Xenopus tropicalis: one gene and its partner. The main gene of each other region encodes a partner of the protein of the gene in region 2 in a complex. Links are inferred from orthologs where the notes say so. Each region holds a gene or a part of one and is shown on either strand. Other genes may lie near its edges. The genes, in order: ptp4a2 and cnnm3.

The links.
Region 1: the proteins of cnnm3 (region 2) and ptp4a2 are in contact, whole or in part, in a crystal structure (PDB 5K25), measured with the Homo sapiens proteins. The link is inferred for Xenopus tropicalis from reciprocal best matches to the Homo sapiens genes CNNM3 and PTP4A2. Residues at the interface, in NP_060093.3 of Homo sapiens: Leu390, His391, Phe392, Val393, Phe394, Asp396, Thr397, Glu405, Ala414, Gln417, Val419, Glu424, Gly425, Asp426, Pro427, Phe428, Tyr429; in NP_001356788.1 of Homo sapiens: Met1, Asn2, Arg3, Pro4, Asp69, Gly70, Cys101, Ala103, Leu105, Gly106, Arg107, Arg134, Arg135, Gly136, Ala137, Phe138, Asn139, Lys141, Gln142.

The regions. Positions count from the first base shown.
Region 1 is NC_030678.2:86,676,226-86,680,556, reverse strand, and holds the start of ptp4a2 (protein tyrosine phosphatase type IVA 2), read right to left. Parts: upstream 2,920-4,331; 5' UTR 2,570-2,919; coding exon 2,474-2,569; intron 1,197-2,473; coding exon 1,104-1,196; intron 1-1,103.
Region 2 is NC_030679.2:125,259,480-125,264,001, reverse strand, and holds the start of cnnm3 (metal transporter CNNM3), read right to left. Parts: upstream 2,859-4,522; 5' UTR 2,264-2,858; coding exon 757-2,263; intron 387-756; coding exon 243-386; intron 36-242; coding exon 1-35. UniProt on the Homo sapiens protein: Probable metal transporter.

The DNA of each region.
Region 1 (4,331 bases), on a different chromosome or scaffold from region 2:
TTTAAATTGATACTTGCAAAAAGACTTGAACTGAATATGTTAAAGGGGATATTAACTAAATATAAGTAAACATGTTCTTACATTTGGCAATCTGATTAGAGCTAATGCTCCAGTATATTTTCCACAAGGTGAGTGAATGCATTAAATCAGTGTCTGATCACTGACAACTTGAAGTAAGAAGGAAGCTTATAAAGCTGGGCTCTGTCAGTGGAGCAGAAAAATTTTGCAAAGAGCAAAAGGGAGATTGGCATATGTTAATGTTATATAATTATTATTATAATACTTTATTTAGCGGTGACATATTACACAGCAATTTACACAGGTTATACATAATTTACATCAGTCCCTGCTGGACTGGAAACACCACATATATATTCATATTTAATTCATCTCTGGGCCACTAGCTCAGAAGCCTTAAGGCAGGGGTACAAATTAGTTGAGCCGTGACAAGTCTCCGTTGTTGCGGCGCCACGTATGCCATCCCACCACCGATTTACATTCCAGCCGGTGGGATGACATTGCGCGGAGACAAATTATCCCGTGTGTCATCGCCCATAGGCTAATGTCACATGAAGTGCAGAGTCAACTTCTCTCTGCCTGCACTCTCTCCAGGTAGTGCCCACGTGCTCCCCTCTGCTCAGTGTCTCTCACCGATAGACAGCATTGGACTGTGTACAGACAAAGGGAGTGGATATCATGTAAACACACATAGTTTTGTGTTTTCGCACAGATATCTGCTCCACGTGTCTGCAAACAGGCCTGTCATTGTAGAGACGGAGTGGAGTGAATAGACTTTTCTCTGCCTGCATTTTCTCAGAGGCTGCCCCTCATTTGATATAAGTCTTACTGCAATACTGTCATGAGAAAACATTAACAAGTTAATAGAGCTTCTCCAGCAGAATCCTGCATTGCAATCAGTTTATCTAAGACACAAACATATTTATTTATATTTAATTTTGAAATTCACACAGGGCGAGCCATATTCTTCATTTCACAGGGTACCACAGACATGTGGCACTGATAAACTTCAATTAAACAAATGAATACAAAATTCAACTTAAGCTCCTCACCGGAGTAAGTCAGTAGGCTAGTAGTATACTTACTAAAACCTGTATCCCTTCCTTTTCTACCGGTGCTTTATCATATGTTGCATCGCATACTCTCACAAGGGTGGTAACTCCATATTTCTTTAGCTCCTGCAATATGAAAAACATGGTGAAGATTACATTTGAGTAATTAAAACCCAAGCTATAAAACATTAAAGGAACACAAAAATACAATGCACTTTAAAAGCAATTACTGTCTTGCTGAAGTGCACTTTTCTGCAAACAAAAAAGTGATAAAATAAAATCAACCTAAAACATGAAAAACAAAATGGGATATTTGCACATGGGGCATTCTGATAACATTATTTTTAGGTTGTGATGATTAAAACTTTGCACCTGCAAAGACGTGGGATTTTTCCAAAGGTATTTCCATACCATAAGCCTACAAAAAAAAACTTTTAAACATTTTAATAAGCCCAATAGGATTGCTTTTCCATCAATATGGATTCATGCAGCTTAGTTACCATCAAATACGAGGTACTGTATTATTACTAAAGAGAAAGGGTAATAAAACAGTAAAAAGGAGGAAAAGATATTGAATTTTCTGCTCAAATAACTACATTTTCATAATTCAAGCTTTCTGAGGTAAGAGACCCTATACCTGTTGTACTTCTAAAGAACAATGCTTCTTGGGAGGTGCACTGCTGCAGGTACAATTAACGTATGAAACAGGTTAAAGGAGAACTATACCATTGGGTGGAAAAAGCCCCCTTAACTATCATTGCCTAGACCCCCTTCACCTCTTCCTTATGGCGCAGTTTTTACGTTTATTCACTCATCACTATTTGCAATATGTGGTAACTAACGGCATATTTTTTTCACAATTTTTTGGGAATCATATTTTATAGGAGTTGTTCTCCTTAGCAACCAGGGAGTGGCTTGAATAAGAGACTGATATATGAATAGGAGAGGGACTTAATAGAAAAAAGTTATAAAAAGTAACAATAACAATAAAACTGTAGCCTCACAGAGCAATAGTTTTTGGCTGTCGGGGTCAGTGACCCCCTCTTCAAAACTACAGAGTTTTTAAAGAAAAAGGCTAATAATTCAAAAACCATAAGAAACAAATAATAAAGACCAGGTGTAAAGTTGCTTAGAATTGTTCATTCTAAGACATGCTAAAAGTTAAATTAAAGGTGAACCATCCCTTTAAGTATTATAGTAGCGGTTACCATTAGCCACAAATTCCAGTAAATCAATATAGACCCATCTACTAATGCAGGGTCAATTGAGGAAAAAAATCCTTCCTGAATGGAATACCTCACTGAATAATGAAAACAAAACATTTTTTCTGTGGTTTGTATTAGAACTGCTTGAGTTCATTGGTATAGCCAACTGCCTAGACGATACTGCATGTAGATTCTTACCTCTGTGAACTTGTTGAGTGTGGCATTGGTTGGATTATGGGTAATAAGAAAACGCATGCACTCATGAGAGATTTCTACTGGAGCTGGACGGTTCATTTTGATCAGATTAAAAAAATAAGGATATTTCTTGGGAAAAAATCCTGAAAAATTCACAGCAAAAAATATTAAAAATTTCTATAAAGAAAAAAAAAAATTTTTTTGCAGGAAGAAAAAAAAAAAAAAGACTTATTGCAAAAGTCCCAGCGATGGTTTTAATGCAATCAAGCACTTTGTGAGGGATGCAGTACAGCATCCAATGGAATTTTCTTACATAACTTATGGAAGGGAAATGAAAAAGAAATTAAAAAAAAAAAAATGGACCAATGGTCTTTATGGCAAGGAGGCACTCATTTGGAAAAGAAAAAATAACTGCAGAGATGGCCTCCGCACTTAGTCCCCACTTTGTAAAAGTCTTCCCTTCACAAAAGGAAAAATTAATTTGCAAAAGCAAGATGGTCTCAAGGTATGAAAATAAATAGTAACTCCCATATGCTTTACTGCAGCTGGCAAAAGGCTGATGATTGGAGGGTGGGCTCAAAGAGGCAGACTTTTCAGCTCACTTGTCCGCGCCAAAGCCGTGCTGAGCCTGGCAGTATTCTGTTCTTATGCGCCGAATCGCCATAAATATGCCACGTCCACTCCAAGAGGAAACCTTTGAGACAGAAGAACACTGCAAATTAGTATTTGTAGGTTAAGAAGGCTTACTTTGCAAATTCAGCTTTATTTAATTTTTTTAAAATATCAAACTTACACTGGTAATTTAGAAGCTATTTTTTCTGTGTACTCATTCTGAAAAGTTAATGTAAAGCGCTGCATAACTTGCTGGCACTATATAAATAAATGATGACGATACATTAAATTGTGCACATGGAACATATATATAATAAAAAGCAAAAAAAGTATGCCCAAGAGCAGTAACCCATAGCAACCAATAAGATGTTTGCTTCATACTGATTGGCTGCTATTTTTCGGGCACAAATTAGTTCAGCCTATGCCTGGTGGCCACACGCATATGTCAAACAACCAAACATGATACCAATTTTGCAGTCATAAGGGAAACACTGACAACTTGAATTATCCAGAAACCAATTATCCAGAAAGTTCTGAATTACGGAAAGGCCATCTCCCATAGACTCAATAATCAAATAATTCACATTTTAAAAAATGGTTTCCTTTTTCTCTGTAATAATAAAACACTACCTTGTAATTGATCCCAACTAAGATATAATAAATCCTTATTGAAGCCAAAACAATCCTATTGGATTTAATTACTGTTTAAATATTTTTTTTAAGTAGACTTAAAGGTAGGAGATCCGAATTACTGAAAGACCTCTTATCCGGAATACCCCAGGTCCCGAGCATTCTGGATAACAGGTCCCATACCTGTAGTAAACCTTGTTTTTATTCAAACAAAACTTGCCACCAAGTCAGAAATTCAAAAATAACTTGTTTGGGAAACATCCAAGGGGTTGGTAAGCAACATGTTGCTTATAAGCCAATGGTTAGGGATTACTGGTCTAATACAATGGTGCTGGAAAATTTGTGAACCTTTTTGAATTTCCAATATTCCTGCATTCATTTGATCAAAAACATGATCTGTTTTTCCCCACCTAAAACTTGATACTAAGTACCCATTTAAACAAATGAGTTAAAAACATTACACTAGTTGATTTATTGAAAAAAGTTGCCACACACACACATATGTGTGTGGCAAAAGTATGTGAACTGCTAGGATTCACAGTGCATTTGAAAGGGAAATTAGAGGCATAGGATTCTATTAATGGGATGATAACCAGGTGTAAGTATCGAAAGCACTGCC
Region 2 (4,522 bases):
CTGCACTGGCTGACGCTTCTTCTTGACTTTGCGCTCTGTGGAAGAATTAAAGGTGCAACAAATATCAGCATAGGTGGGTCATGATGACATCTAATATGATCTACATTATAACAGCATGTCTGACCTACAATCAACTCCCAGTTTAAAAAAGTACCGAGCTCTGTTCTCAAGCGCAGCTATAAACAATTCCTATATTTAATATCGGTATAAATGTCTAATCAGATAAATAGGAATCTCCTTACTGCAGTCTTCAGACTCGTCCAAAATTTCTGATTTTATGATCTCTTCTATGACATCTTCGAGGGTTACCAGCCCCATAACTTCATAGAACGGATCTCCTTCTCCCTCGTTATTCACTTTCTGTACAATGGCCATGTGGGACTTGCCTATGAAACCAAGTCACAGAGGCAGAATTACCAGGTGGCATTTAAAACACAGTGACAAAAAAATACAGACAATATATATATATTTTGCCCAAGCTACATAGGCAAACGTTATACAATTATACTTGCATTAAATTCGCTGAATACAATATATGGGATGCTATTGTCATATTTAAGATGTCCCTCAAAGGAGTGGCCAGTGTAAAGGCCACTCAGGGTGACATTTAGGCTAAACACTTACTTGATATCCTAGCTATCCTAATTTTTACAGTTTATTAATATATCTGTACCCTTGTTATGAGTGAAGAACCTAGAGAGGACACACAGGCTTGCTCACATTCTCATACGACTCTTGCATACCACAACCCCTCACCCTTCTTGAACTCCTCCAGCACAGCGTCCAGTTTGGTGTCGCTAAACACAAAGTGGACAGGGTGGCTGTAAAAGCGAGTGATGTAGTTCAGTGGAGTGCAGTCTTGTGGGTCCACAAAAGCCAGGTCCTTGGCATAGAGGATATCCACGATGTTGGAGCGCTCGTTTTCATATACTGGGATGCGGGTATAGCCACTCTCCATGATGCTGGACATGGTGTTGAAGTCTAACAAGGCATCACTGGGAAGCATAAAGCATTCAACCACAGGGGTCAGTATGTCCTCTACTGTCCGATTCCTCAGGGCCCCCTTGCTGAATTCATCTCTTACTAATTCACTGTAAGGGTCCCCACATCGGGCCATTTCCAATATACGGACTCTTTGTCGGCAGCAGCTAGGATCCTGCCCAAATGCTGCCTCCAGAAGCCATGACAGAGGGAATGAGAGGAGCCCAGCGAGGAACATGAAAAAATGGGTAAGCCACAGGCACTTGGGTGCTAGAATGAGCCCCCAGCGAGAACTTACTGCAGCTGGTAGCGCCTCACCAGCCAATAAAAGCAGTCCAGCTGCTGAGAAAATAGCTGCAGGGATTGAACCTATAGCATGGTAAAGAAGAACAGCCACAGCTGAGTTAGTAAGGCAGCAAAGGGCCAACATGGAGATCAGTGTGTACCCACCCCAGCGCGTCCGCAGGGGGTCCAACCGAGTGGCCCCATGTCTTTCACTGGGGGTTCCCCAATCCCGCAACAGGCCAAGCTCTGAGGGTTCTAGGGCCAGAGTGCTGAGCTGCAGCCCCCTGAGCAAGCCAGAGAAAAGGATACACAGGACAATAAGAAGAGCCAGGAGCCAGGAAGCCAAATACTGCCTTGCATTAGTCTCAGGGGGTGCTACAGAGGGAGTTTCATCCCTAAAACTAAGCAGGCGGGAACTGAGGGAGCCCAAAGTACACTGTTGTTCATCTCCTGGCCAGGGGGGCTTCTCTTCCTCCTCATCGCCCCCCAGCACGGTAATGAGTGTGTCTCCGCCGGGGAATGGAGCCCAGCTGTTTCCTTGGCGGGTACAGAGGGGGTACAGGAGGCCTCTGCCCTTACTCTCATTGAGAGCCCGGACAGTGACCAGGCCAGAGTGCTCGCTGCACACTCGGAACTCTTCCAGCAGTTGGAGGGGCGAGTCTGGCTCTGGAGAACATGTCTTGCTTCCGGGGCTGCCAATGGAGACCCAGGGCCAGGTGTCATTTCGCAGCCCCGATCCATAAAGACGGAGGCGGAAGGACGAACCAGGGCGAGCTCTGATCAGCCCGCCGCTCATTGACACGCCAGCTCCCTCCTCCAGCCGTAGCCCTAACACCTGGGCTTCAACGCTGCCATCTTCAAGCGCAAAAGCCACCCCGGTGTCACCGAACCCGGCCAGAAGCAGCAACCCAACCACGGCTACCGCCATGTTGGAAGAGGCAGAACAGCCTCTTCTGTGCCTTTGACAGCTCAACCAATCAGGTGAACGCCGCCGCATTCGCTCAGCCAGTGAGAAGCTCGGTGAATAAGTCGAGCCTATAAAATGGAGGAGGTGCGGCAGAGGGCGGAGCTACACTGTAAGCAACTGTAAACAAGGACAAAAAGCTGTGGAAGATTTAAATCTTTTGTTAGTTCTGCGGCGTTCAACGGCTCCACTTCTCCTCAGGAACTGGGCCCCTCGGGCACTGTGACCTGTCCCTCTTAGGCACAGTAATACGATAGCTTACAGTGAACGTCAGCCCCTCCCACCGTACTCCTACTAAACCTTTAGCATTATGGGTGTTGTAGTTTCTCATGTCTGCTCACGAATACACCCTAAATCTCAGATTTCACTGCCTCTCTCACCTCCAGAAGCTAATCCTATAAGGAGCATATGAGCCTGCATAAGGTTGAAGTCTATATAAAGATCAATACAAAATCTTAATATAACATACCTTTCACATGCACTGATAAACCATTTCCTACACTGTTCTATATAAAGCAATGGCTGAATCTCATACTTTAACCAGGGGCCCCATTTAGTAGCCTAACAACAAACCCCATAAGCACCATAATTCCCCCAGGACAGCCCTGCTCAGCTGCCATAACTGGGTGCATGGGCATTCCAAGCAAGGAACGTTTTGTTTGTCAGCAATGGGTGACAGAGAGCAGAAGTCGAGCGCCCAATCACACGGCCACAGTGGGGGAGCAGGGCTGCCCCAGGGAGTTTCTTTGCTGTTGTTGGGAAATTAAGGGGGGGGGGGCAATAGAGGGCTTCTCCAATGTAAATGTCAAAAAGCACACAAACCCATTAAATAATAAACTCTTTAATAATTAAACAATTTAGAATATACAGCCATCCAAAAATCGTACCATTCTTTCCATCTGTAAAAGGCAAAAAAAAAAAAGGGAAAAACCAAAAATAAATAAATATTTGCAAACAATTCCCTTATTTGTGCAGAAAGCCCCCCCCCCCCCCCCCCCCAATAGTACAGAGTGTTATTTCCCAATCCCTGATTAGGAGGGCCCAGCCTGCCACCCTACACACAGCAGCTGCTGCTGACCCTAAAGCAAAACACATCTATGGCTTGTGCAGATACTGTATTCAGCACTTATTTAGCAGGCAAAAGGTCTTTTATGGAAACCAAAAAAAAGATAGAGCAGGTAAAAAGGAGGTCAGTTTCATCCAAAAAATGCAAGTTTAACTTGTTGGAACCTGCACGGCAATCAGAGGGGATGTGTGTTTACGACAGGAATTCCCAGGAACCGAGACTGAATACTTGTGCAATACTAGAAGTTCTTTGTTCACTTTTTTCCTTCAAGCAACAGCAGGTCATTAGATAAGGCCAATACGCCTATGGTTGAGAGGATACAAGTACAAAGGGAACATGGGTATCCATACAAAAAAAAAAAATTGTGAAATCTTAGTACATTAAAGGGGAACTCTCTCAATAGTTATATGTAATAAACTACAGCTTACTAAAACAAGGAACATTTGTAAATTTAATGAAAAATTCATAGTAGTATGTAAGTCTTAGTTCCCCTTATGCCTCTTTCAGGAGCCCTTCTTCTGCAGGACAGGAAATTTATTGTAAAATAAATGACAATATTCACTGATTGCTTGTTGGCCAATCATGTTCACCTTGCTCTCAAACAGTTAGGCCTAGTGCTTGCCTTCTCTCATGCGCATTCAGTTACACTGTTACAGGTAGCGCACAGCCCCCTAAATCTTAAACAGGACAGTTCACCTTTAACTTTCAGTAGGTTGGACAATTCACAATGTCCCATATTTTTTTTTTTTTTTAATTGATTTAGAGTATTGTTCTTTCTATTTTTTTCCCCTTTTCTATTCATTTTCCAATTGTCAAGGTAAATCGGCCCTAGCAACCAGATAGCTGAAATGCTAAACTGTTGCTGAACAAAAAGATGACCAATTGCAAATGACCTCAGATAACCACTGTCTACACTGTCACACTAAAAGTTAATTTAAAGGTAAGCTACCCCTTGAACACGAAACCCCTCAATCTGGAGACAGGAACAAGGTGATTACAATTTGCCAAAAGTAATCTAACAAGCAACCAATGAATACAATGAATAACATGCATCCCCCCCGCAGAAACCTGCTACGACCTGCAGCCCAGCAGGCAATGTTCCAAGACAGGCTATTGAGAAAGTCATAGAGAGAGAATTTTTAAACATATTTACAGAATTCCTTGTTGTAGTGCCCATTAGCTTAATAGAGATAATTATTTCAGTGATTAGTACCCATTCATTGATA